Coturnix japonica: one gene and its partners. The protein of the gene in region 1 interacts with the protein of each later gene in a biochemical or structural test. Links are inferred from orthologs where the notes say so. Each region holds a gene or a part of one and is shown in the gene's direction. Other genes may lie near its edges.

Region 1 (2,930 bases):
TGTGATTTGCCAGCTGTAGGGGTTCTTAGTGCAGCAGATTCAGTGGCTTCTTGGTGAGGTGGCAGTGCCCCTTCCCTGCAGAAATCTGTGTTAGTACAGGAGGGATTGCAGCAGAGAGGGTGGGCATCCAACACAGGATTTGCTCAGCTGCCAGCAGTCCCCATTACATAGTGTATGTGTGCAACTCCCTCGTTTCTTTTGCAGGAGAGGAGGGGATATCATCGTGATTGGACTGGAGAAGGAATCGGGCATGCAGCGGGGCCGAGTGATCGCCGTGCTGAAGGCCGGGGAGCTGGCTCCCTATGGGTGAGGCTGAGTTGGGCACCGGCTCCCAAGGGTTCAAGGGGATGGGTTGCAGAGGTGAGGGTGAGATGCTGTGACCACAGCCTGGTCTCCAAAATTCACCTGGTGCCCTGTAACGTGATGGGCAGAGCCCGGTGTCTGTCTGATCCTGCCTGCTGCTGCCTCCAGGTACTCGGAGGGCAGCGGCACCTGGCAGGAGATGGTTGGAGCTTGGCAGGCTCTGGCCCTGTGTTAGGAACAAGCAGTGTATTTATGCAGAGCGCAGCGCTTGTCTGTGGCTTCATTCATGTGGATCAGGTTGAAGTTCTGGCTCTAAATGAGCACCTTTGTGCTGTCGGCAGTGAATGGCCAGGGGACGGCTCCGAGAGCACAGGGGAGAGTAGTTCTATACATTAATGTAAAGGATTTCATCCAGCAAACGAGAGTCCAGATAAATAAATAGCTGCTGGAGAGATGGGGGTGCTCCTGCTGATCACTTAAATACCAGTCTGGGATTGTACTATTTATGTCCAAACAAATGGAGGTTAAGCACTGCTAAGGATTATAAATGACCATTTATTACCACTGGGCAAACACAGCGTGAGATCAAAGCACTCCTGCCGTTCCCTCGCCTTGTTCACTGAGCATTTTTATCAGTTAGTTGAGAGTGGGGCATTCTTGGCTGTAGGTTTGACTTTTATTTTACCCAACCGTTAAAAACAATTAGGAGGAAATTAGGTGCAGAGCCACGGCCATTGGGGCTGCCACTGGCTCACCTCACAGCATTGCTGTGCCATGCCACCCACCCCATCCAAGCCCATCACTCACATGGGCTGGTTGGCTGCTCTGGATACACCCAACTGGCTGCAGGGATTGAACAGATCAGGAGATTATCAGCAACTTCAGAACGTTGCAGCAGGTTTATGCATGTAGCTTCACGTTTGGGCACCTGAATCCCTTACAGAATCTTTTCCCATGTCACTGAACTGCTTGCTTTTGCCACGCTGTGGTTTCTTGTTCCTCCCTTTGCTATGCTCTCCCTTCTCAAGGATTTGCAGCTTATAAAAGGAGATTCACCAGCTGGAAAGGAGAGCCTGTGAATCAGTGCCTCTGGGATTAGCGGGCCCCGCTGCTTAGTGGGGCTGCAATCCACCCTGATGCCATTCTCTGCTCTTCCTTCCCCAGGACGCTGGTGGATGCTGCTCTCGTAGCAAAGGACACGGTTGTGTGCTGCTTTCAGAATGAAAACACCGAGTGGTGCCTGGCTGTCTGGAGGGGCTGGAGTGCCAGAGACTTTGACGTTTTCTACCAGGCCTACGAAGAGCTGGGACGGCTTGAAACTTGCATGAGGAAGAGGAGGTAGTGCTCGTGGCACTGGAAACCGAGGGCTGATGGAAGAGGGGAAGCGTCCTGCCCTGAGCATGCAGCCCCACACGGGGAGGGGATGGGGTGCACAGGGACAGTGTACCACTGTTTGCTGCTAAGGAGCTGCATGGGGTTTTGGCAGCAGAGCCCAGCAGGGCTCTGGGGGCAGCCCAGCAGGGGCAGGATATGGGCGCTGGGCGCTCTCTGTGCAGCTGAGTGCAGGAGGTGGCTGCAGCTCGGGGAGTGAGCGAGCTATTGAATTGCACTCCTGCAAAGTCAGTTGTAAAATAGAGCTGATACAAAGCAAAGCCACTTGGGCTGACAGCTACTTCCTGATGGGAGAGAAGGGAGAGCTCTGTGACCAGGGAAGCCCATAAGCTGCCTTTGTTCTGCTCCTCTTTCTCTGGGTAACTACACTCTGGAGTATCAGGAGCACAATAAGTTTCATTTGCCTGTGTATCTGCTCAGCTTCCGCCGCCGCAGCTTTTAGTTTGTCTTCATTAGTGGCCCAGGATGCTTTATGGGCTCTGAGTTGCACTTCCTAATTCCGAGCATGTACAGCGCTGTAAAAGGAGCCTGGCTCCGTGCCCTGTGTAAAGGTGTACAGTTTGGACATTTTGTTGTTTTTCTATTCCAAGAAACTTCTGTGAGCATCGGCTGCGCGGGCCGAGGCCGTGCGGGCAGGTCTGGTTCATGTCCCTGTTGCAGGCTGCTACGACACACTTTGTCTCTAAAGAGGGGTGTCTTCAAATAAACAGATTCCTCCCTGCCTTGGCACTGTGACACAGGCACTTGTGGTGGGTAATCTGCCACAGGGGTTCGGGTTTGCAGTGTGTGGTTGTGATGCCTGGCACCCACTGGTGCCTTTCCTTTCAGCTTCTTTGCAAAACCAGTATCTGTAAGAGCCATAATGGCTCTGCATTGCCCTGAGCACCCCAGGCACAGCTTCATGCTCTGCACCCCAGGCTGGGCTTTGTGCCTCAGCTCCAGCCCCAACCTCAGCATCACCTCAGTGGGCACAAAGCTGCCTTTGTCCCGCTGTTACTGAGCATGAGCACCACCGCCCACCCCAGACACATCGTAAAGTGGCTGCTCTGGAAGTCCTGCTGCTGGGAAAGAGGGAGCTGAGGGGCTGGAGCTGCTGGGAGAGCTGATGTCGCTGGGAGCGAGTGCATCCCAGTGGGCAGCAATGGGCTGGGAGTGTGAGATTAGAGCCTGAAATCTGCTTCTCAGCACTCTTGTTCCCATAACCCTGGTGTCTTGTCTGCTGCTGGAGCTTGGTG
Region 2 (4,185 bases), on another chromosome or scaffold:
GTTTCTGTGGTTACATATATTGCAAATTACCCTGTTGTTTATCCTTGTGAAGTGGTGGATATGAACATAGGGAAGGTGATTTACACGAGCTACAGGCACGTAGAATGCTTTAGCAAAAGCAGGGCAGTGTTTGCTGTTTTCCTTTAGCAAAATGCTCTCTACAAAGAGCCTGCAGTGCCCATCTGCAGGACAGTGATACAGGCTGTGTGGAACCATGAGATGAGCAGTTTGAAAACCAGAATGACCGCTGTGGATAGTGATTGCTGGTGAACAGAGCCTCACACCTGCACAGGCTGCATTACACTTGGTGCTGAGGAGGTGCTCCTTGGGGGCAGCATTGAGGAGCAGAGTGTGATTCTTACCCTGGAATGGAGGGGAAATATTTTCCACCAGGGATTGATACTGAGCTGGCTTAAATTCAGCTCCATAATTGCATTTAGATTCTGTCCTTTTCTTAACTATTTCCTTAAAGTAGCAGTTTGTGTTCATGCAACCTTTTTGCCCATTCAATCTTCCTTACTAACCGGAGCTGTGGAGCGAGGCTGTAGCCTCGCTTTCTGGGCTCTCATTGATAGCCTGAGCCTTTCTCCACCATTGCCTTTCTCAGTGCTGTTCTGATCTTTGTCCCCTGGTGCAGGCAGTGTATGGGGTGCTCCGGGTCATGGAGGGGCTGGAAGCCTTTGACGACATGATGGTTCACACCAAGATCCAGCCTTGGTACCAGCGCATGGAGGAAGCCATTCAGAGAGCTGCAGCCTGATGCCACCTGCAGCCTCCTTCCTGAGATACTTGCATGGGGGAAAATCCTTAAGAAGGAATAGTGTTTTATCTTCTAACGAGTTGAACGGACTGATCACACCTCTGGAACTGATGTGCGGGCACAGACTGTGCTGTTCAGAGCCCTGAGCTGCGGGCAGAGGGATCCTGCAGTGTGTGAGTGAGATGTGAGAAGGATGGGGCAGGACAGGAGGAGTTTGGGGCACTGCGGGGAGGAAGCAGCTCGGGCTGAAGAAGCACTGAGCAGACTATAGGTGGGAGCCGTGCTCAGAGCACAGCACTGTAATGCAGGCTGCTTGCTTGGCTACTAGTGTTACAGCTGCATCTGGTCCGATCGTTCTCAGCAGCTCTTGCTTCAGGCTCTTCCTCCATTCGTCCACCCATCTGTTCTGCTGACTGAGACATTGATGCTGGACTTTAAAGACGAGTTCTTCTGTAATAGAATCGGGGTGAATCCCCGGTGCTGGGAGAGCCCCCTTCAGCCCTTCCTTTGCTGGGCCGTGGGCTGTGGGCGCTGTGCTCTGGTGTCCGCTGTGTGAGGATAAAGGCTTCTGTGACGCTGTGCGCGACTCGTCGCTGTGGAGACGGGGCGGGACGGCGGGGCGCGGGGCGGCGGGGCGCGGGGCGGCGAGCGGCGGCCGAGGCCGGTTTGAACCGCCCAATGGGGGAAGTGCGGGCGGCGGGGCGGCGGGTCCGGAAGTGCGGCTGCATCTCGTGCCCGTGGTGCCCACACGGCAGCGGGGCGCCCCGCCGCAGCGCCGCCGCCAGCGAGGAACATCTGAAGCGGCCACGGTCATGGAACGCGCTGGGCAGCTCGCGGTGAGGAGCAGGGGGAGCAGGGGGCGGACGGGCCGTCGGAACGCGGCGGGGAGCGGCCCAGGGGAGCGCGGCCCTGGTGCCCTGAGCGCGGGGCCGGGAGGGCTCACGGGGCCGGTTCGCTGCGCGGTGCCTCTCGGTGACGATTCTCGCTTCCAGTTCCGAGCTGACGTAGCGGTCCCTTGAAATGAACCATCACCCCGAGCTGTAGCCCTGCCTTGTCCCGCGGGTTGTGGCCGCTCCTGTGCTGCCCGTGGAGCCCAGCCGGCAGTTACCCGTTGGCAGCGCTGTGTTCAATTGTAGGAGAGCTGTGGTGCTCCTGCCCGGCTGCTCAGGCCGCTGTTTCCCCACCCGGTGAAGCTGTGGCCATGGCTTCGTGCCGAGCTGTTTCCCTGCCCGGTGCCTGTTATGCTGTGCTGTGATCAGAACCTGACGTTCTTCATATCGATGTGCCCATGTTGGTTTCACCCCGAGCAGTGTATTACACCCTGTCAAATCAATCACGAGCTGTGGAGACTCATCTGAATTCTGTTCTAGCAGCGGTACAGAACAACATGACACTTTAAGTAACTCTTGTACCGTATCCCCTTGTGCAGCAAGCTTTGAGGCAGTGTTTCCATAAGGTCAGCAGTGAAGCCCTTCGTGCTGCAGCTCCAATAGCTCCATATACCCATTGGACACAGCTGTCCCCACTCGTTTCTCCCGGTCCCATCAGTAGGAGGCAGCAGCTCACACTGCTCTCAGTTCAGGTCTGTGGAAGGGGCTGGTTGGCCAGCAGTGTGTTTGTGTTTGCTGGGCTGTGCAGCACCAAGGACTCGTGTTGCAGGCTTTTCTGTTGCAAGCACTTATCAGAGGAAGCAACAGCACGCTGACTTTTGTTACTTGAGTTCATACAGGATATATTTGAGTCTGTGTGTTGTTGCCTTTGTTTGAAAGGAAGGGAATGTTGTGAGATTGGCACTGTTCCCACCAGTTGGTCCCGATGGTCCTTGTGGGTCCCCCTTCCAACTTGGGACATTCTGTGATTGTGTTGTTTCTGCATCAGGTTTTCTTCATCCATCAACAATGAAATGACATCAGTATCTGCACAGAGCACAGTGTCAAGAGGATCTAAAAGCCTTAAAATAACCGTAAGTAATTATACCTGGGCTGACAGAACTCTGCTGTTGTACTGAAGAATCCTTACCTCAAGGGAAGATTCACACCTACACTGATTTCTTTAACCTCGTGTCTCTGGGCTTTTCTGTGCTGGGCAATTAGTGTGTGAATTTGTACCTGTGTGCATCACAGAGGGAAAATCTGAACAAGGATCCAAAGGCTTTTAAGCATTGGTTTGACTTCAAGAATTTGAAGTTAAGCACATGTGAGAGAACTTCCAGGTTCAGAGTTCCAGGGTGGAATGAGCTGTTTGTTTCCTGTTGGTTTTTCTAATCCGAGCTGTTAAATTAATGCTCTTTTCCTCTATGAGATTTCTATCCAGACTCTGGTGTTAGTTACTGAGATCCTTGATTTGCTCGACTGTTCTGATGCTTTGAACGCCAGTGACTCTATTGGTTCAACTGCGTTTGTTCTTTAGTGGCCACAAAAAGTATTACCAGCAGAGAAATGATTTGTGTTAATAGCTTTACAGCATAATGGCATGCACTTCAGAATGGCAGATGCTATTGAAAGACAGCACATGCTTCAATCAAAACTGGCCACTGTTGCTCTCTGGCACAGAGGGAAGTGTTGTTATTTCCAGTTTCCTTATTCACAGGTTTCCTTTCATTGTATTGCCCTTTCCCGTCTGTGGGAGAAGAGCCATGAAGAACCGTTCCTCATCTCCCCCTTTGCACGTCCATGTGGATGAAAACACCCCTGTCCATGTCCATATTAAAAAGGGTCAGAAATCCACACCTGCAAAATGCCAGGTAGGAGTGTGCAGCTGGGTGTTTGTGAGGGCTGCAGGGAGGAGGCAGTGCTGGCAGCACCACAGAGTCGTTGAGGTCTGTTTTACATAGCATTAGAACTGAGACCTGTTGCCTTTTTTGCTGTGTGTAACCAGTGGTGAATTTTCAGTGATGTGTTTTCTGTGTTTAAGCTGATTTCATTATGCTATAGAATATATGGCTTGTTTTCATGTTTACTTCACTGACTGGGGCTGGATTCGATCATCTCTAAGAATCCCTTCCAGCCCCTACAATTCCATGACTATGAGAACTGTTGCTTTCAGTGTGATGTAGCTTGGGGGATTTTTTCCTCCTATGTCCTAGATTTGTATTCTCATAGTGTTATTTCTTCAGCTTCATCCCTGTATTTGAAGGAAGGGTTTGGGGTAAGGAAGGAACTGAATGTTCCACATTCTGTCTTGATTGTATTCAAATTAACGTGTTTGGAAGAAGAGGGGCTGGATTCAAACCATCTTCTGGCATTAAATACCTTGTCAATCTGCAGAGCTACACAGGATCTCTTCATACCCTTGTCCACAGTAGACAGAAGGCAATACTGAAGCTGGGTTGTAGCTGTCTTGTATCTCTTTGAAGTTGGATGTTTGTGTAAAGTTTTTCTCTACAAATAATGGAAGTTGCTGGCTCATTCTTATATCTGCAGACA
Region 3 (3,500 bases), on another chromosome or scaffold:
TTTCATGTACCCACTCCACACAGTGTATTTAGTTGGATAAGGCAACCTCGGAATGCTGAGTGTCATGAATGGAATTCCACTTTCTGCCCATGTGGATCCTAAGGAGGATGTGAAGTGGCCACATAAGAAATGTGTCACTTGCTACCTGTGGGCAAAATAGAGGGAAACTGAGGTGAAAGTGTTGTACAGCTGTTGAATGTTTTCTGCTGGATGTGTTCTTCTGGTTGTTAGAAGAGTGGGAGGTGACCATGCAGCACGTTAGAACTGGATTACAGGCGTGCGTGTGTCTAATTTTCTGTTACAGTGATCACAGCAGTAATTCAACGATTCTGTGGAAAGCAGACAGTGAAGGTTGATTTATTTCACCATTAAAATCAGCCTCCCAACTTTTCATGGTATTTTAGGAAGTTAGATCGTCATATAAGTAAACAAGAGACAAAGCACAGCTTTGTAGGAGAGGGGAGACCAGAGAGCAGACACGCACAGACTCGTGAGCTGTGTTGTGCTGGGAAGGACCACTGTGGCCAGTTGGTTTGGGCTCAGAGCACGAGGCCGGCAGCAAGCCTGCCACGCTGGGTTTATTCAGTTGACACACTCAGGCTTGTGATAGTATGAAGAGCAGCATCCTGTGATGCCTTGAAGAAGGAGGGAGAGCAGCCAGCATTTTGGGGGCAGTTGGACAGGGATGGCAGGAGCAGGGTGGGATTCCTGAGGGAAATGCGGGGTGCTGGGTGGAAAGCAAGAAGCCTCATTACAAAAGAGTATGCGTGCTCCCGAAGTTGGGGTTGAATCAGGGTGAACAGTGGGGTCTGTGGGATGATATCGGGGTGAGCCACAGGACCTGGAGGCAGCTGGGTGACCTGTGTGCCTCTGTGTCTCTTCCTGTAATTACTGCCTTGTCTTTGCATATGCATGTCTTAAGGAAGATGATGACCTGGAAGACATCGACAGCTTGCTGGAGAAGATTGAGGATACCAATGGACTATCACAAGAGACCCAGAGTGGAATAATTGCAGACAGCAGGCCTCTGCTCTACATAGAGCACAGGTAGAGCTCGCTTTCCTTCCTGGCTTTGAGTGTGACAGAAGTATTTGTATACTGAGGAAGGGAGGTGGAAGCCTACCTATGTAATCTGGCCATAAATCCAGAACCTTATGTGAAAGGAGTTATGGTAGCAGTTGTACACAGCCCCATTTCTGACTACTGCTCCTAAAGCTGTGCTCAGTTTTTAGCAGCAATGAGTGTTCTCTGCTGTCCCATCTGCAGTGGGTGGCTGGATCAGATGACCCCCAGAAGTGTCTTTCAGGCTAAAACTGTTGGTGACTCTGTGTTGAAAACTGTTGGTTGACTCTGCCTCAGCACATAAAGCTTTGAAGCCAGACTATTCAGGCCAATACACCAATACATGCTGCCCTTCAAGGAGGGCTAAGCAGTACCAGCAACTAATTTCACCAGGAATGCTTGTTAGACTCGTCTAACCTTTCCCACATGTGACCATTAACAAAGTGGACTAAGTGCTGGGCATGTCCACCAGCTGAGGAGGCTATTAGCCTCACACTAGACATCTGTAACATCACAGCCTGGATCAGCAGCTTCTGTGTCCAGCCTGTCTCAGAGTTCTGGGTTAATATGGATACTGGCAGCTCTTTCTCTTCTGGGAAAAGAACTTGTAGGACTGAACAATCTACCACTCAGGGTTCTGAAACCTCCAAACACACTGCACCAAAACAATCTAGGCCAGTGGGTTCTTCTTGCTAGTTTAGCTAGTTTTCCTTTTAATAAAGGGAGGGATGTTTGCTTGCCAAGATGTTTTCGACTTCAGTGAATTCTCTGGTCAGGTGAATGTTATTCAGAAACCTTTGAGAAGTGGATAATCTCAGAGTGGGAGTGAGTTGGCAGTGCTGGATCTCAACCTTCCCACTCCCTATCTTCCTTTGAGCCTTTCTCACTGGATGACAGAGAGAAACCCCCCTTAAATGTGCCTCTCTTCTCTGGGCCAAATGTTAGATGAAGAAAACTGTAGGTGTTGTCATGCTTTGATGTACAATCTTTGTATTAAAAGCATGTATTTTAAGCCTTGCCAGCCTCCATACAGTGGTTAGGGTGCTTGCCTTGGGTTGCAATCCGCCACTGATAGGCTTAGCAGCAGTTATCTCGTGTTTTCCAGGTGCAAATACCCCAAGCATGTTTCCCTGAACGAGGCTGTCCCTGGGAGCATGCCAGGCTAGGGACCCATCTGTCCTGGAGAGGGCAGCAGTATTCCCTAGCTCACTGTCTTTAGAGCAGTGTACAAAGGAGCTGTGCACCTGATTGAACAGGGCTTTGGATACCTCCTGCTCTGACCACTAACTGTTCTCCTGGTGTGCTGTGTCATACCAGAGGGGTGTGTATGTGATAGTTCAGGAGTTTGGCCAGGGATGGTTTTTGGTACAACATACCTGGCTTTGTTAAAAAGGAAAAGATTGCAAGATTTTTGTCTGTTTAACTTTTCTTTCTTGTTTCAACATTCTCAGAAACTTGAATCCAGAGAATGAGTTGAAGAGATACTTTGGGGCTCGTGCTGTTCTCGGTGATCAGAGGTTAGTCCAAAGTTTAATAGTAAAATTTTCTGAATTTTGAGTTGCTGTGTCTGTCCTTGCCTTGGCGTTGCTTACTGAGTCTCTGGTGCTATGCCTGTGCTGGGAACCCAGGGCACTGCAATGTGTTCATGGGGTCTTACTTATTTAGTGGTCAGAAGAATATTTTTGGGGCTGTGTGTGAGAAAGGTGTAAGGTTTCTTCAGACTTTACCTAGTAGTTCCTTTTTCTTTTGCTGGTTATTTTAACCCCCTCTCCCATGTACTGTCAAATGCCCTTATCAAATCTTTTTGTTCAGATTCATAGGCTATTAGGTTCTTGGTCCTATTCCAGCTTTTGTTTCTTGTTATTATTCTGAAGTCTCTGTCTTAGAGTAGACCCTGAATACTTTCCAGGTAGTCTCATAAGCTTGCTCATGTAGGCTCAGGGCACCAACTGCTGCTTAGGTGTAAGATTTCTGTGCAATTACTCATTGCTTTGTCATTGATGTTATACAGAAAATCCTTGGTTTTGAGGGCTGGTTGGTAAATGTGCACAGAAGAATGGTATAAGCTCGGGGTGGTGATGGTGGAAAGGGAAATCTGTGATAGGGTCTGTAGATGAATTAGACTCCTCCAAGGAGAGACTAAAGCAAAAGGTGGCATCTAGCACTTGAGGAAAAAGAAGCAGTCCCTGACTAAGGAGATGTGACTTCCTTAGAATTGCCTTGATTTCTGAATTCCTCTTGCTCTGAACCAGAAAATTGGTTCCACTTATAAATACAGCTTAAACTGAATCAGTCAACACTTGGAGGCCCTGCTGGGAAAATATGAGTCAGAGGGATATGGGGCTCTCTTAATTGGGCCTGGGAAGCTTTTTGAAGCAAAGAGGCAGCTGAGAACTTGGCAAGAGTAAAAACAAGGGAAAGAAACCATTGAAGTGGAA
Region 4 (3,609 bases), on another chromosome or scaffold:
CCTTGCTTGGGCCACATCCATCCACACGCAGCGTCGCCCAGCTTTATTTCCACGTCACTGTCGAATCGCTGAGGAACCCAGTGGGCGCCATCAGTGGTGCAGGATGGCAGCGAGGGGACAGAACCAGGGCACGGCCCAGCCCCATTCCATCCGTCCCGGTGCCGCCGACGTCCAGGCCGTCCCGTTGCCCTCGTGGTACTCCATCTCTGCCCGGGCCTGGTGCAGTGCAGCTCCAGCCGCCGCCCCAGCTGCCGCCGCCGCCGCAGCCACACGCAGAGCCCCGCCGTAGCGTGGCAGGCCCCTGTGGCGGCTGCGGGCAGCCCCCCGTGCCATGCCGCGTGCAGCCCCCCGGGAGCCCCCACGCCCGCCCTTGGAGGCAGCTGGCTGGCAGAAGGTGGCAGCAAGCAGCAGCAGCACCCAGCAGCAGGCCACGCGCCGCCTCATCCCGCCGACCTGCACACAGGGGGGCTGTGCTGTGGGCAGGTGCCCACCTCACTGCGTGCACACACGTATGTGGGGTGTGAGCAGTCACATCGTGCATGGGCTGCAGACGTCACGTGCACCAACACGGGCTGTACAGGTACGCGGGCAGCAACGAGGTCTCCTTATGCCTTGCACATGCACCTGTGTGTGGGATGCATGGTCACAGCCTGCATGTGTTGTGCTACATGCACCAACACGGGGACTACACGTGTGCCACATTCACAACACGCATGTAGATTGCACTGACACATGGATTACACGCGTCACATGCACCACAATGTGTGTTACATTCCCCGGCACATGAGGTGCACAAGCACATGGTCTGCACGTCTGCCCTATATGCCAACACACACGTTACATATGTTGCATAATACACGGACCACACATGTATGTTGTATGCACTGATACATGTATTACACACACTGATACATGGACGGCACGTGTGTCACACACTTCAACACACGTGCCACATGCACTGACACCGGGTTGCACAGACAAGTGTGATGCTGTCCGTCCCGCTCACACGTGCCGCATCCCGCTGCACGCATTGCACGTCCGCACGCACCCCGCGCTGTGCGCAGCCCCTGCACACCCGTGCACAACCCAACGCACCTCACGGCACAGCTGCCCCCGCCGCCTCCCGCTCCCACGTCCCGCGTGGGCTGGTCTCGTCCCCGCCGTGCAGCCCCGGTTCACGCTCCTGCTCCGCTCCCGTCCGCTCCGCGCTGTGGGCACGGGGCCGCGCGCCCGCGGGCGACGTGAAGCGCGGACACGCGTGTGGAGCGGCGGGGCGGGTCCCGCGTGTGCCAATGGCCGATCCGCAGTGCGGGGCGCGGCACAGCGCGGCGATGGGCGCGGGGCGGAGCGAGGCCGCGGGGAGGGCGGGCAGTGTCCGCGCAGAGACATGGCGGCCCCGCTGCGCGCCCTGCTCGGCTCCGCTGTTTGCGCCGGTACCGCGCGGCACCGCGCGCTGCTGAACGCACTGCGCCCCCACGTGGCGGGGCGGGGGTACAGCCACGGTGAGCGGGGGGAGACGGGACGGGGGAGCTGCGGGGCGGGGGGCACCGGGAGCCGGGGACGGGCAGCGGGAGCGGGCCGCGGTCAGAACAGCGGCACCGAGCGGGGGAACCGGGAGCCGGCACCGCCCGGCGCGGACACACGGGTGAAGGTCGGCCCGCAATGGCCGCGCAGGGGCCCCGTTCCGCTTCGTGCAGGTGCAGAAGGTCGGGACGGGCGGCAGCGTGGGGCTCATCCGGCTGCACCGGCCCGAGGCGCTGAACGCGCTGTGTGCGGGGCTGATGGAGGAGCTGGGGCGGGCGCTGGACGCCTTCGAGGCCGACGGGCAGGTGGGAGCTGTTGTCATCACCGGCAGTGAGAAGGCGTTTGCAGGTACGGCTCCGGCACCCCGCGGTCCCACCGCCCCACCTCCGCATCCCCACGCAGCCCTTTGGTGACCCCGTGCCTTCCCCCCTGCAGCCGGCGCTGACATTAAAGAGATGCAGAACAAAACCTTCCAGGAGTGCTATGGCAGCGGCTTCCTGGCGGGCTGGGACCGGGTGGCCACTGTCCGCAAGCCCACCATCGCTGCCGTTAATGGCTTCGCCGTGAGTGCCCCTTCCGTGTCCCCATGTCCCCGTATCTGTGCTGCCGCTGTGCCATAACCCGTTGTGCTTGCAGCTGGGTGGCGGCTGTGAACTGGCCATGATGTGCGACATCATCTATGCTGGGGAGAAGGCACAGTTTGGGCAGCCTGAGATCCTGCTGGGGACAATCCCAGGTGAGCGTGGGGGCTGTGTGTCCCCGGTGGGCTGGTGACGGCCACGTGCCTGCTCCCAAACCCAACACCCCATCCCCAGGTGCTGGGGGGACGCAGAGGCTGACCAGGGCGGTGGGCAAATCACTGGCCATGGAGATGGTTCTGACTGGGGAGCGGATCTCAGCAGCGGAGGCCAAGGTGGCAGGTAGGTAGGGGTGTGGGTGAGGCTGGGGGCACAATGGGGGTCCCCATATCACCTCCCTGCTTGCCCCCAGGTCTGGTCAGCAAAGTCTTTCCCCCGGACAAGCTGGTGGATGCAGCCATTGGCTGCGCTGAGAAGATCGCTGCCAACTCCAAGCTGGTGGTAGCTATGGCCAAGGAGTCTGTCAATGCTGGTACGGGGTGAACTCAGGGATTTGGGGTCCAGATTGAACAGTGTTCCCATCTCCTCATCCCTATCTTTTCTCCATCTCCAGCTTTCGAAACAACACTGACAGAGGGGAACAGGACGGAGAAGCGCCTCTTCTATGCCACTTTTGCCACCGTGAGTACAGGGCTGGCCCTGGACACACAGGGAGAGTGGGGCTGTGGGCCGCCCCAACCCATTCTCTGCCACCAGGACGACCGCAAGGAGGGGATGACTGCGTTTGTGGAGAAGCGCAAGGCCAAATTCACTGACAGCTGAGCTGCAGAACCTGCGGACACTGATTGCCCTTGTCTGCCCTTTACCACCCATGTGCCTCAAAACGAAGGATGGGCCCATTGGCACTGCAGAGGGAGCCAGCGCTTGGCATGGAATGATGCCCACACTGGACATGATCCCCAGTAGGGTTTTGGCTCGTTACTGCTATTAAAAGGCTTTCCTGGTGCTGCTGGTGCATCATCATTGTTGTTAGGAGCCTCCACATTGAAAAGCACTGGAGATGGCTGAGAGCCTTTAAAAGAGCCAGGCCTTCCCATGGGCTGAATGGGAGCTGGGGTGACTGGCTGAGTCCCCTGGCCTGCTGGACCCCCCTGTTCCTGTCAGAAACCAAGCACCCACCTGCTGCTCAACAAGGAGAGGTTTATTGGGGGCTCATGGTGGGGGCAGGGCTGCAGCCTCCCTTAGCTGTGGTACAGGTGGTCACGGTCCTCTGAGGGACCATTTTCCACCTCTGCCGACAGAACCATGCGTGCTCTGTGGAACTGGGGTTCAGGCTCCACCTCAGCCCTGTCCGAAGGGTGATAGAGATGGTCACGGTCCTGCTCTGGCCCCACCTGGACCCGAGCAGGGTCTGGAAGGAACAGAGGCCGTGAAGCAGTGTCCTTGGCAAGCCTGGCTTTCTCCACTGCCTGTGGAGCCTGGATGCTGTAAGAGAAGCAGAGGTGGC
Region 5 (4,161 bases), on another chromosome or scaffold:
GTATGGAGCATGTGATTACACACACACAAAACACAGGCACGTGATTTATTTATCACAGTACCTCCATTTGTCAAATAATAATTAAAAGGCAATAACACAGCTTGTTTGTTATAAAGGGCTCCTGAAGATTTTCTCCTGCAGTAAACCAGTAAGAAAAGGGCAATTATTCTGAAGTATTACACTATTACACGTTTTGGGTTGTTAGCTTTGAAATGAACTCACTATCTGGAACTCTTTACAGCCAATCAAATGCTCCATTTCTTTGCACATTTCACAAGTTCAGCCCTTCCTTCCTAGTAAAATGTCTTTTCAGAGGCGTGATTGTCTTTGTTAAGGCAAGAATAAACAGATGACAACTGTAACACAGAGAAGACATGTCTGAAATGGCTATACAGAGCAAACCCGAATCCAAATTGCCTGACAGGAAGGTGCTCTCAGAAACATAAAGGAGGAAAGGTTTTTGTGCACTGTCAGGGACAAGTCCTGGAAAGCCATGGCAGAGAGAGGCTGTGTTTGTCCAAAACCATCTCAGCAAGTGACATTTGAGCTTCCACACCCAGACAGATGTGACCTGCATCCCCCCTGTGTGCCCATCCTGGGCAGGGGCTGCAGATGCAGGATGGAGCTGCAGCGCTGTTGCCAGCTCATGTATGGAGCTGTAGGAGGATGTTCAGAAGCAACTCTAATTAATGAGCATTAAAAAAGTGAAGGCGTGTTTCGGTATCCTTTCAACCTGGAGCTGATGCTGACTGGTGAGGAATAGGATTGCTGTGCTTGCAGTTCATTTGAAGAAGGCACCTTGAAACCAGTGCAGAAGATGCAAATGAAAGTGCAAGGAAGGAAAAGAAACCAGAAGGCCAAGAGACAGGCAAGTGAACAGAGCAGATGGATTTAGCAGACTCGGTATGCTTTTGTTGTCTGCATTATGTGTGGAAATCTATATTCTAACTGTCACTGCAGCAGAGCATATTGTAATGAAGCAGAACTGCTGAGGCGTCAGCATCACAGGTGCTGGCTTTTGAAGACAATCAAAACAGAAAGCAGAACTCTGAAAAAACTCACACCGAGGAGTGCAAAGAAAATGCTGGGCGATGTTTTGAAGTAAACACAGCTTCTCTGCTTATCACTGCTCTCTGGGTGCTGGAGGGCAAATAAACAGTGTGAATCTTGCTGAAGTGGGCTGAAAAGCAAAGGCTGGCAGCAGGCGGGTGCTGGGTGTGTGTGCCCCTAACCCAGGGCTGGGGGAAGGGTTCTCCACGTGTTTTGGGGAACTGCAGCCAGAGGATCCCTCCCCTGGGTGTTCTGGGAGGGTTTGGCCAACATGTGAGAAAGGGAGGGGAGAGTTTGAAAACAACCCAGCCAGCGTTAAGGGAGGAAGAGAGCTGGGAAGTGACCTGCTCGCCTCTCTCCCAGCAGTTTGCTCCAGGTGGGAGGGCAGGAAGGAATCCCAGCAGTTCCTGCGTGGCAAGGCACGGCGTGGCACAGCGAAGCTCCCAGTGCAGGTAACCTGGGCTGCATGCGGATACACTGCAGCTTGCATGGGAGCTGGGCACTGGTCAGGAGTTGGGTTTGGTTTTAGGTTTTTTTTTTCCTTTTTTCCTTTTTTTTTTTTTTTTTTTTTTTTTTTTTTTCTTTTTTTCTTTTTCCTTGAGTTTGAGCTGTAGATGGGAAGGGGGGAGTGAGATTCTGCCCTCTTGTTCTTATGGAGATTGAGTGCTGTTCATACGGCCAGGGAGGGAAGTGGGAAGGAGCAAGCTGCTCCCTACAGCCTGGAGATTAACGTGAGATGAACCATGTCTCTTTACCATGCAAGTTTTGAGGCAAAAAAGGCAAAATGATTATATATTTGAGTAGTCTGTTTGATACAACAGCAAGACACCAGTAATCTTGCATGCACATCAGTCCTTTTTCAGGTCTTAGTGTTTTAGAAATCAGAAGGTTTGTACTGTCAAATCCAGACAAGGTTTTCAGTGGTTGATAGTCAGGCTGCTAATAGAAACATGCAGCAGAAGAAAGGAAAAACATGCCATTTCCTTGTCTGGAGGTGTGCTGGTTGGTTCAGGAGCTTTCCTCTTCTTCTGATTGAATCAGACAGCTTTTGGGCCCTAAATTTCACCATAAAATCCTCCAGTAATTTTACAGAAGGCTTTAGAACAGGTAGTAGCAAAGGGGCAGGATGCACTGAGGTGTTATTTTGTGGCATCTTCTCTTGTGCAGGTTCCTGTTACTGTATCACCGCACCTTCAGTCATCTCTCCTGGCTGCAGAATCATTCAGCTCCTCTGCTGTCTTGCTGCGGGGAAGCTGAATTCCACAGTCTTTGTTAATGGATAGATTCTGTTTTCCGCATCTCAGTGATGACAATGTAGCGTCACATCCCAGGCAGCCAAGGTGCAAAGAGAAATTAGGAATTATTGTTTGATTGATGAGCGAAACAACATCCTTTGAGGCTGCCCCTTATATGAAGAAAGGCTTATGTGAGCACGCTAAGCTGTCCTGCCTGTAACATGGCTGGAACCCAGAGCTATCACAAACAAGAAAGATTTTCTTTCCATCGTGTCTGGTGGGGGGAAGTGTTTATCACTAAAAACACAGCAATCACGGCTCACAGTCCTTTAAGAGATCACTGTTGTTTTGGTTCTTAAACTTCCTTCTGATGATTCATGCCGAGCAGGGCCAATAAGTGAACTCAGAAGCTCTTACACAAGGGGAAGTTTGGCTGCGGTTCAGACCGATCTGGGGTAGAAATACATTGGAATAATATGTAAAAAAAACCCCAGAAACAACAAAAGTCAGGCTGTAACGTTGTAATTCCCTGGCTGGCAGCTGAGGAACCCTGCAGTGCTCAAGCACTGAGGCAGAACGGCTGCTCAGGGCACCAAACATTGCTGGGCTCTCAGCAGGAGCAAACTGTAAGGGAAGAACAACGGCTCACAGAGCTTTGAGGAGGGGCTGAGTGAAGGCAGAGCACTTGACAATAAAACAGGCTGTCACCTGTAATCAGGTGCCTGGCCTTAGGCGCTGCGTATAGAATAAACAGGGTTAGTGCACACTGATTTGAAGCAGAAAATCTGGGAGGCAGTGAATGGGTACACATGGGTTGGTTACGGACGCATGGGCTGGTTAGGGGCACATGGGCTGGTTATGGACACATGGGCTGGTTATGGACACATGGGTTGGTTAGGGGCACATGGGTTGGTTAGGGGCACATGGGTTGGTTAGGGGCACATGGGTTGGTTATGGACACATGGGTTGGTTATGGACACATGGGCTGGTTATCGACACATGGGTTGGTTATCAACGTGGAGGAACGTGTGTGAGCAGCTTTCCTCACAGACCCCACAAAAAGCCGCCTGCTTTGGGGCAGTCGTGGTGTGTTCACGAGCACCTGTGACACCCACACAGCTTAGGAGGGCCAGAGGGGTGCTGTGTGAAGCGAACAGGGCCCGACCCTTCCCTGTCCCCAGTTGGCAACGCAGAAACGCTGCACACCCCCATCCCCCTTCCCGCCGACACGGCCGCCATGTTTCCTTCCCCCCCGCCGTCCCTTTCCTTTCCCTCAGGCCGATGCCCCGCCCACCCTCCTCTCCCTCCGCCCTCCGATTGGCTGCTAAGGCGGGCGGGATTCAGCCAATCGTTGGCTCCGCTTTGCGCCGTGTCGCTGGGGGGAAGAAAACAAAAACAAGCAGAGACGCAGCGCGGGCTGGGGGCGGGGCCGGGCCGAGCCCAGTGCAATCGAACCGGCCGAGCTGCCGCTCGTAACGGTCCCACCTCGGCGGCAGGGGCTCGGCAGGCTGCCCGTAGGCTGCCTACAGGCTGCCCGTAGGGTATCTGCAGGGTACCCGGGGCCGAGCTGAGCCGCGGTGTGGAGCGGCTCCCCGGACCCATCGCTGAGGTAACCCCTGAGGGGGCGCTGCGCGTTGTGGTGGCGCTGGGCCTGAGGCGCGGGGCGGGCCCAGAGTGGTGCCAAAGGCGGCAGCGGGTGTGAGAGAGAGACGGGAGGGAGGTGCCGAGCGGCTCCGTGTGGTGTAATGCAGTGAGATAGAGCCGGGAGTGAGCCGAACCGTGATAAAATGGACGGGTTGGAATTAGAGCGGGGCTGGGAGGAGGCATCGCGTAGGGGGAGGTTCTTCACTAGGAGAGTGGTTAGGCCCTGGAACAG
Region 6 (4,274 bases), on another chromosome or scaffold:
TAGGAGAATGAGGCTCCTTGGAGAGAATAGGGTGCCATTGATAGACTGCTATCTTTTCATCCCCAAAAAGAATAAATTCTGACAAGTGCTTCCAGACATTGGGGATAGGTGTTCTGATTTGTCATTTTTTTTTAGCAGAATGCTTCCTTTTCTTTTTCAGAGCATGCAAAGATAGCGATGAATGGGGAAAGGTATTGCAGCTTCCTGTGTCGGGCAATAATTTATGTGAGAATGCATTAAAGGGTGTTTTCAAAGGGCAGTGGACATGCCCAGAGCTGAGAAAATTGGATCCGGACTGTGACATTGCAGCTCCTCAATTAGAACATTGAGACGCCTCTTGCTTTAGGAACAACAAGAGTAAAGCTGAGCTTCCAATCTCGCCTGCAGCCCCTCGCTGCTGCTGCTGCCGGTGGGAAAGCACTATTTGGGAGGTAGGCACACGGTGCACACAAAACTTGTTTTCAGCTTTTGGTGCTTGAAAGTGTGTAAATACAGAGAGCCACTGCTGTGCCGCCGCAGTCCTTGAGAGCCTCCAATCAATACTGTGCAGAACAGATCCAGTGCACGGCAGAGCTGCGCTCAGATAAAGTAACGTTACATTGATCAGCACTGATTTAATTGGAGGCGAGCGGCGCTTATTGATTCAGTTGTCAGGCCGATTCTACAGAGCAAGCATTGCACGGACTGCGCTAGCAACCTTTTAGTTAATGGTATCTAAAGTAAAAGCTTTATTAAATTATACTCAATTTTAGATACCGATATTATGCATCACTTTAAATCACTTCGGGCACCGCTGCTGCATCACCAACACACAGCTGACCCCACGCCGTGCACACGGGTGGTGTTTGCTGGGTGTCACCATGCCTCGGGTTGGGGCAGCGCTGCTGTAGCCTCTGGTCCTACAAACCCCCCGCAGTCAGGTGGCCGAGGTGGTACCGTGAGTGAGTGCGGGTGCCATCAGGGCTGCGTGCGGGCTGGGGGCGGCCGCCTCGCCCTCCCCACCGGGCAGAGCAACGCTCGCATCCCCAGCGGGACCGGAGCCGGGGCCGGGCCGGGCTGTGCGGCGGGGGCAGGGGCTCCGTACCGCAGCCGCAGCGATTGGCAGAGCCGAGCAGCGCCGTCCAGGAAACGGCTCGGATTGCAGCTGGGGGAGTGACCAGGGGAGGAGGGAGGAAGGAGTCGGAGGAGCGTGCGGAGAGAGAGAGAGAGAGAGAGGGAGAGAGAGGGAGAGGGAGGGCGAAAAAGAAGGAAAAAAAAAAAAAAAAGAAAAAAGAGGGGGGTTGTTGGACTGACAAAGCTGCGGCGGCACGGGGAGGGCGGCTGGATGGAGCGGAGCGGGACCCGCGGCGATGCCCGCGCGGGGGAGGAGGCTGCTGGCGCCGGGCACGGCGGGCTCGCCCCAGTGAGGCGGTAGCGCCGCAGCGCAGCGAGGGGACGGGACGCCGGGCGGGCTCCTGCATCGCCGCCCCGCCGCCGCCAGCCCCGCATCCCGCGGGGGATGCGCCGCGTTGCCCTGCGGGGCCCCCAGCCCGCCCCGCCGGGGCTGCCCGACGAGTGAGCGCGGCCGCGGAGCCGACCGGCTTCAGGTAATGGCACGGCCGGGGGTAGGGAGGGGAAAGGTGTTGGGGGGGAGTGGGGGCAAACCCGAGGAGGGGAGGGCTCGCGGCGCTCCCGACGGGACGGGGAGGCTCGGGATGCTGTCTGCGGTCCCGTCCGATGCGGCGAAACCTTTAGGGGACGGTGACAGCGGGGCTGAGAGCAGCTCAGCCCTCGGGAGCTCCCCACGGAGCGATGCTCGGCGGAGCGGAACCGCCCCCCGTCCCGCACCGGGTAAAAAAAGAAATCCGCGGTGATATATAGGTTTAAATGCAAAACGGCTCGTTCAAACAGTGAGCCATTATGCGTTCGGTGTGAAACGCTATCAACATTTAAAACTTCATTGTCTCCTTTGTACCAAATCCCTGTAAATCTTCCACTAGCCTTTACTCATTTTCATCTGAAAAGCCTGTTTGGGCTGAATAGACAGCAATCAACAGCCTCTGGACTTCTCTCTCTCTCTGGAATGTCAATTAAAATGCAGATCTTTTTTTTTCTCTTCCCCCCCCTCCTCATCTCTTAGTGGTAAAAGACTTGAGAAAAACAGGATAGTCCTGGAAAGCGAATGAAAGAAGTTCAAACAATGCGAAAGTACGGAGGCTTGCCAGCCGGTTCCCATTAGTCCTCCAGAATTAATGTTTAATAGCTGTGATGCTCAGATTTGCTCGGAGATTGAGCGGGGATGGAGACGCGTGCGTACGTATGTCTGCATCTCCGTATAAATAGGTGTCAATATTTAAGCCCATATGCGCTCGTTGGGGAGCTCGGTGTGCTCGGATGGTTGTAGGGAAGCTGCCGGGTGCTGGCATTGGGGGAAGCTCCGTATTTCGTTCAGATTTCGCTATTCCCTGCCTTAATAGAGAGCGCTGCTAAGAGCTGCCCGATGAGCAGCGTATTGATTTGGTTAACATGCTGTACAAATTGGACCGTCCCCGGGGAGTGATAAACATCTTATAAACAACAATGGGAGTAGATTAAAAAGAACACTGAGCGTTGAATTTAATTAATGCCACTGCTGAACAAGAACTACTTGTTTGCGAGCGAGTGTGCTCAAAAGTGGAGGAGAGCTCGGAGGAATTTGGTTGGGCTCCCAAACCAGTCTGCGTTCCCATGCTCGTCAGTTTGGCACAGAAATTTGGGCAGGTATGTGACGAGGTGAAAATTGACTTGATGAGCGAGTGGCAAGGAGAGCCATCAATCATTGGGGGCTGACAACTCCTCCCCGAAGTGTAGGCTGAGAGGAGAGACAGAGTTCCCTTTCAAGGGGAAAAATAAACACTACGTGTGGCTTTCACTGAGTCTGAGACTCCAGGAGGGATTATGGTATTGTAGTCAGGAAGCCAGAATTGTGGAGGCCAAAAAGCATGCTGGGGCTGTGTTCCAAACATTGAGATAGAGGTACATAATTAACCAGCGCAGGAGGTCCTTCCAGGGAGCCGTTCCCCGGCGACTGTGGCCATCAAACTATGAAAAGAATTTGGGTTCTTTTGGTCTTCGTTGGACTCCGTTTGGTTTGGGAACGGGCAGCGTTTGGACCGTGGTTGTAGATTTGGGTTCTGCGGATGGGCCCAAAGCTCTGAGTGTCGCTTTGCTGCACCTTCTTGAGCCCAGGCTTTGAATTTGGTGTTACCCTGCAGGGGAAGAGTCCCTCCGTGCTGCTGTTGGATGCTCAGTGCAGGAGCTGGCAGCCTCCTCCAGGTGAGCAGTGCTGCCATTCGGGATGGGCACACGGCTCTAAATGGCATTGAATGCAGCCTGGAAATCCTGTGCTGCTGAAATGTAGGTGGGATTAATGCTGTTTAGAAAAGAGTCTGGGATATATGATAGCATTCTGGTATGTTTTCTTTTTGCGAAAAAATATGGTTAAGCTTTGCATTTATATACGTAGCCTTTAATCAGGCTTTACGGGATGATTTATGGAAATTAAATTAGCTTTACCTCCAGTCTGTTAATTAGGATTTATACCTGCTTTACAGCTGGATAAACTGTGCTGTGGGGCTGTGAGTCAGAGGCTGAGACCCGTCCTCGGGACAGAACTTGGGCTCCACACCTGCATTGCCCTCTTGTAGGGAGGTGCTCTGTGGGTTCTTCCCCAGTGTCTGTGAAGTGGTCTGGCTTTGGTTCTGCTGGAGGTGGAACTGTTGTGTGCTTGTGGTGTCGTGCTCTGCTTCAGTCTCTAAAGGAGCAGCGGAGCATTGAGCTGGGATGGGAAACGCTTGCCCCAGAGAGGCAGAGGTTCACCTGAAATGCTGTGTCTGAACCCTTTACCCAATTGGATCTCTTCTCAAATCTGCTTCTGCAGAGCCTGGGGCTTCCAAGGATGCCCCACACACACCTGTCCCCATTTCTGGGAGCTGAGTTCAGTTTCCAGCCCTGAGTGAGAGGCTGAAAAAGTCTGAATACATTCCTTAATGGTTGGCTCCATAAAGGCAGAACATGTGTTCGTTTTGCTGAGTTCTACATGCTGTGGTACCATAGCTCAGGCTTCTTTTTTTCCCCCTCTATTTAAGGATGGGGGCAGGAGGGGGGAAAAAAGAGGTTTTATGCAATTCTTTCCCCAAGATCAGTGCTCTCTAAGCTTCAGTTGGGTCTCATTACTTCTAAGATGAGTTATTGGCTGATTTGAACAGCTTGCTTGATTTATCCATCGACAGTGGTGTGCCACCTTGTATTTTGGG
Region 7 (4,199 bases), on another chromosome or scaffold:
CCGCGCAGTCCCTGCCCGTGCCATCGGTACCGGAGGAGCCCCACAGAGCCCCGCTGTGGGCCGGGCTGTGAGCCCAAAGCCTTCCCGCAGGCAGCAACCGACTGACTGACAGAGAGCTCGGCTTTCTGAAAAATCAAGTGCTGTGAATGGGATGGCTAAAAGGACTTTTGTGGAGGTTAAAGTATTTCAGAATTCATCTGCAAGGACTGAATTTCCTAAAGAAGTTAAGAAGCTGAGGATGCCCTGTCACAGAATCACAGAATCACAGAATGACCCGGGTTGGAAGGGACCTCAAGGATCATGTAGTTCCAACCCCCCTGCCTGGCAGGGCCACCAAACATACACCTTTACTAGATCAGGTTGCCCAGGGCCCCGTCCAACCTGGCCTTGAACACCTCCAAGGACGGGGAATCCACAACCTCCCTGGGCAGCCTGTTCCTGTCCCTGGAGTTGCTAAGCTAGGTTGGATGGGCAGCCTCCTGGCGGTGCTGCTCCTGCCTGTGGCTGGGGTTGGAACTGGGTGGGCTTTAAGATCCTTTCCAACCCAAACCATTCCGTGATTCCATGGTTCAGTCAATGGGATCGGGGAGCAATCAGTTCCACATCATGTGATGCTTCTCGCCCACAAACACTGCTGTGCGTAAGGGTGCCGCAGGCTGAGGGCACACGCCTAACATGGAAATGTTCTGTGCATCCTGGCACCGCATCTACGTAAAAGAAAATGCTCTTGTCCTGTGGTCAGGTGCATTTGCATTGAAGTGCTCCAATGCTAACAGTGCAAAGAGAGTAAAGGGAAATACTCTTTCACCCAGGTGAGAGTACATCAACATATTTTTAACTATGCACACAACTACACGCAATGCGCCTACAGTTCACCCTTCCTTAGAAATGCCATACATAATGAAAATTATGCAAATACTCAGAAAAACGCCCCAGCCCAAATCAGGCCCGTACCACATCAGACGCTTCCACACACGCACACGCGGTGCTTTGGGGCACTGCCAAAGACGACCTTTCCAAAATCGCCCCTTCAGCATCACCGCCTGGAGCAGGGCAGGTACCTGCCCACGGACACCTGGGGAGGGCAGAGCTTGCGGGAGGACAACGACCTCGGCTCTTTACCAAGGAAAAACGTTATCAAGTACGCGCTCCCCACGCAGCGACCCACCGGTCGGCAGCCAGAGCCTGCGCGACCGGCCACGGCCCTTCCTCCTGCCTTTGAGCTCTCCCGACCGCCAGGGCTCGCTCCTCTCGGCTCGCTCCTCGCACACGTCCCGCCCCGCGGCTGCCTCGCCCCGCTCCGCCGCTCCGGGATTTCCCTGCAGCCCGCCCCGCCGGCAGCGCCGCCTCCCGCGGCTCCCCACGCCGCGCCCCCGGGACTCGGGGATCCGCCGCCGCCCGGCCGCGCTGACGGGCGCTCGCAGGTGCCGGTCACGGAGGGGCGGCCCCTCTGCCCGCCCGTCTCCGCGGCGAGGAGCGAGGAGCGGCGGCAGCAGCCGGCAGAGCCGTGAGTGGGGGAGTGGGGAGGGTGGCTGCCGGTGCGGAGCTCCGAACAGGGGTGGCCTCCACTGCGGGCGGCGGCGGCCCCGCAGCGAGCCGGGAGGGAGAGAGGGAGGGGAAGCGTTTCGGAGGCATTTATCGATGAATCCTCGTGTTGGGGTGTAGTTCTGCCTGATGGCTGGGGGTGTTTCTGCATCGCCGTAATTCAGAGCTTACGTTCGTCCCCCGATAATGGGTTTACATTGTCTCTGCTGCGGGTTTCGCCGGTCCCTATTTCCCGTCCTGTGTCGTAGGCGCAGCCCCGCACCGCGTCTGCGTTTTGTGCGGGGTAAACCCGCGCATCCCCCCGGCCCTCCATCCGTCAATCCGTCCATCCCTCCATCCCTTCATCCCTCCATCCCTCCATCCGTCCATCCCTCCATCCGTCCATCCGTCCATCCGTCCGTCCGTGTGCACCTGAGCGGCGGTCGGGAGCGGCTCCCGCTGCCCGCAGACAAAGAGTCCCGGCCGGGAGGTGCGGGGCGGTGCGGGGTTCGGCCGCCGGTGGAGAGCAGTGGGCGGCAGATTGAGGAGAGGGGCTCTTTGCGTCCTCGATGGAAACGTAAAAAAAGAGTGAAGTAGAGGAAGCAATTAATTTAGGACTTGCGTCACCATAGACTGTTGTTATGCTTTAAAAATAGGAAGAGGGCTTATTATGAAATGCTTAATGAAAGGAACGCGATCCGGATCTTTTCCTTTGAGAAGCATCTGGATGCAGGAGGCGGATTGAGTGCCCAGGAGTGAAATTGCTTATACACTGAGCAGTATTCTCAGTTATGTATAGATCATAAATATGTAACGTGGTTCAGGGAAAACTGATGCTTTAAGGTACGAGGATCTAAAAGTGAGCGAGAGCGGCAGCAGAAATGCTGAAATCCGCATGTGGTAGCTCAGATGTTTGGAGGAATGACAGAGCTACCAAAAAAGGCATCGTGATGCTCAGCACAATGCAGGAACAGCATTTTCTCCTTCCCTACAGAAAAGGAAAGCGTGATACTGGCAGCAAGAAGTGACAGATGTGGCATCTCAGCAGCTGGCTGAACATAAAAGCGTCTATCAGCAGGTGATTGCTGTTGCCAGGATTTATTTTTAAAGTGTTTTGTTCTGAAAGGGTCCAGCCTTTGGGAACGTCAGCATTAAGCTTCACTTTAGCTCTTTGCCGTGTTAAAAATAGTTTTTCAGCAGAAGCATTCAGAAAAGTAACAAAAAATCCCTATGTTCAAGGCATTCCTTGCTTTGAACATTTGTTTTTTATTACAGCGTTCAGGGGAGAGGAACTGAGCAGGTTCTCTGGTCGGTAGAATAACACTGAAAGGAGTCGTTTTTTTCCTGGCCTCAGCATAAGCCAGCAGTATCTGCAAAGGAAACAATGGGGCCCATCTCCTCCTTAGATGAAAGATAGTCCCAACTCTTGTTGTCTCAGCAGCACCTTGTACATTTGTAGGAGTGAAAATCAGGCTGCTGAAACTACTTGTCCCTGTAGTCCTGCCTTCTTCAGTGATGTGTGGAGCCAGCCAGCATCGCCAGGTGGTGGCCTGGTGCCTTTGGAAATGAAGGAGATGGTATCTCCTGACAGGCAGCCTGGAGCCACACGTTCCCTGGGGCAGCGTGGCTCTGCACCGCGCCGTTTGACTGCTGTCACACTGACTTCAAAGAGGTGTTTCAAACTGTTCCAAGCCACTGATAGAAGCTTTGCTGTAACCAGAGAAAGCCATGTTTCGTGGCAAAACTTGTCTTGTTCTCAGCTTTTCGTAATTACGTATGCTGCTTCGGTTTATAATCTTCTAAGCCAGGTGACTCCTTCTAGAAGAAATTCTGGTCCTCTGCCCAAGTCTTGAGAAATAGTTTAAGGTAGGGGAGGGAATTGTGCTGGTATTTAGAAAGAAATTTCCTTCTGCATGTAGAACTTGCCTTCAGGTTTTCTCTTCTTCTCCTGGTGCGGTATCCTTGGGGCTCAGAGGTGCTCATGTTCCTCACCCTCACAGAGACAGTTGCCGTAGATCCAATCCAAGTCACGTAGAGCTCCTTTTGGCTTTTGCATGCAAATATATGCATTTTTGCAAATGTACACAAATGTAAGTTTGGAAAAACAAGCAAAAAGCATCACTTCTCTACTTTTTTTCCTTTTCTTATCTCAATCACAGCAGAGTCAATAGCTTTTGTCAAGATTGAAGCCATCTCAGAAGAGCTGTCTGGCTGTCCCTCCCAGCAGTACAAGGGAACTGACTGGGAGGGCTATGCATAACACAGCCCCACCAGTACAGCGCTTACAGGGGGTTATTTGACTGCAGGTCTACCTTGATGGTTTTAGTGTGTGACAGAAAGGTACCTTTCCCAAATGTGGATAAGAAGAGCACGGTACACAAGTGTGAGATGGTGAACTGCTTTTAAAGGACTTCTCACTGCAAAGCAGCTTAGTTAATAGCCAGTGAAAGCATGCAGGTGGTACTGATGGATATCGCTGGGTAGATTATCAAGAGTGGATGTGAAGCACCACCAAGCAGGGAAGGCTTTTTTGTGAAGCTGGATGGCAGAAGTAGGTGCTACAAGTGAGAAGGGCCCAGGTAATGCTCATGCTGAACAAAAGGTCTATTTCCAGTGCTGTGCTAAATAGGAGAGTTCTGGATGACACTCCTGAATATAATTCTTACATAGAGTAT

The links.
Region 2: the proteins of LRRK1 (region 1) and ODF2 form a complex in vitro, tested with the Homo sapiens proteins (2 studies listed by BioGRID and IntAct, with this or other methods). The link is inferred for Coturnix japonica from reciprocal best matches to the Homo sapiens genes LRRK1 and ODF2.
Region 3: the proteins of LRRK1 (region 1) and TCF25 form a complex in vitro, tested with the Homo sapiens proteins (2 studies listed by BioGRID and IntAct, with this or other methods). The link is inferred for Coturnix japonica from reciprocal best matches to the Homo sapiens genes LRRK1 and TCF25.
Region 4: the proteins of LRRK1 (region 1) and ECHS1 form a complex in vitro, tested with the Homo sapiens proteins (2 studies listed by BioGRID and IntAct, with this or other methods). The link is inferred for Coturnix japonica from reciprocal best matches to the Homo sapiens genes LRRK1 and ECHS1.
Region 5: the proteins of LRRK1 (region 1) and PDCD4 form a complex in vitro, tested with the Homo sapiens proteins (2 studies listed by BioGRID and IntAct, with this or other methods). The link is inferred for Coturnix japonica from reciprocal best matches to the Homo sapiens genes LRRK1 and PDCD4.
Region 6: the proteins of LRRK1 (region 1) and FGFR2 form a complex in vitro, tested with the Homo sapiens proteins (2 studies listed by BioGRID and IntAct, with this or other methods). The link is inferred for Coturnix japonica from reciprocal best matches to the Homo sapiens genes LRRK1 and FGFR2.
Region 7: the proteins of LRRK1 (region 1) and CDC42EP3 form a complex in vitro, tested with the Homo sapiens proteins (2 studies listed by BioGRID and IntAct, with this or other methods). The link is inferred for Coturnix japonica from reciprocal best matches to the Homo sapiens genes LRRK1 and CDC42EP3.

The regions. Positions count from the first base shown.
Region 1 is NC_029525.1:15,897,719-15,900,648, forward strand, and holds the end of LRRK1 (leucine-rich repeat serine/threonine-protein kinase 1), read left to right. Parts: intron 1-204; coding exon 205-306; intron 307-1,467; coding exon 1,468-1,645; 3' UTR 1,646-2,430; downstream 2,431-2,930.
Region 2 is NC_029532.1:3,840,242-3,844,426, forward strand, and holds the start of ODF2 (outer dense fiber protein 2), read left to right. Parts: upstream 1-1,385; 5' UTR 1,386-1,438; coding exon 1,439-1,596; intron 1,597-2,638; coding exon 2,639-2,723; intron 2,724-3,349; exon of another isoform or gene 3,350-3,395; coding exon of another isoform or gene 3,396-3,503; intron 3,504-4,185. UniProt on the Homo sapiens protein: Seems to be a major component of sperm tail outer dense fibers (ODF).
Region 3 is NC_029526.1:16,780,093-16,783,592, forward strand, and holds part of TCF25 (transcription factor 25), read left to right. Parts: intron 1-922; coding exon 923-1,047; intron 1,048-2,513; coding exon 2,514-2,579; intron 2,580-3,500. UniProt on the Homo sapiens protein: Component of the ribosome quality control complex (RQC), a ribosome-associated complex that mediates ubiquitination and extraction of incompletely synthesized nascent chains for proteasomal degradation.
Region 4 is NC_029521.1:5,960,971-5,964,579, forward strand, and holds ECHS1 (enoyl-CoA hydratase, mitochondrial), read left to right. Parts: upstream 1-1,361; 5' UTR 1,362-1,387; coding exon 1,388-1,502; intron 1,503-1,674; coding exon 1,675-1,872; intron 1,873-1,959; coding exon 1,960-2,087; intron 2,088-2,160; coding exon 2,161-2,260; intron 2,261-2,339; coding exon 2,340-2,444; intron 2,445-2,514; coding exon 2,515-2,634; intron 2,635-2,715; coding exon 2,716-2,783; intron 2,784-2,858; coding exon 2,859-2,924; 3' UTR 2,925-3,109; downstream 3,110-3,609. UniProt on the Homo sapiens protein: Converts unsaturated trans-2-enoyl-CoA species ((2E)-enoyl-CoA) to the corresponding (3S)-3hydroxyacyl-CoA species through addition of a water molecule to the double bond.
Region 5 is NC_029521.1:23,080,020-23,084,180, forward strand, and holds the start of PDCD4 (programmed cell death protein 4), read left to right. Parts: upstream 1-1,361; 5' UTR 1,362-1,502; intron 1,503-3,679; exon of another isoform or gene 3,680-3,894; intron 3,895-4,161. UniProt on the Homo sapiens protein: Inhibits translation initiation and cap-dependent translation. May excert its function by hindering the interaction between EIF4A1 and EIF4G. Inhibits the helicase activity of EIF4A. Modulates the activation of JUN kinase.
Region 6 is NC_029521.1:27,586,014-27,590,287, reverse strand, and holds the start of FGFR2 (fibroblast growth factor receptor 2), read left to right. Parts: upstream 1-1,474; 5' UTR 1,475-1,586; intron 1,587-2,646; exon of another isoform or gene 2,647-2,739; intron 2,740-3,106; exon of another isoform or gene 3,107-3,294; intron 3,295-4,274. UniProt on the Homo sapiens protein: Tyrosine-protein kinase that acts as a cell-surface receptor for fibroblast growth factors and plays an essential role in the regulation of cell proliferation, differentiation, migration and apoptosis, and in the regulation of embryonic development.
Region 7 is NC_029518.1:28,587,374-28,591,572, reverse strand, and holds the start of CDC42EP3 (cdc42 effector protein 3), read left to right. Parts: upstream 1-1,399; 5' UTR 1,400-1,507; intron 1,508-4,199.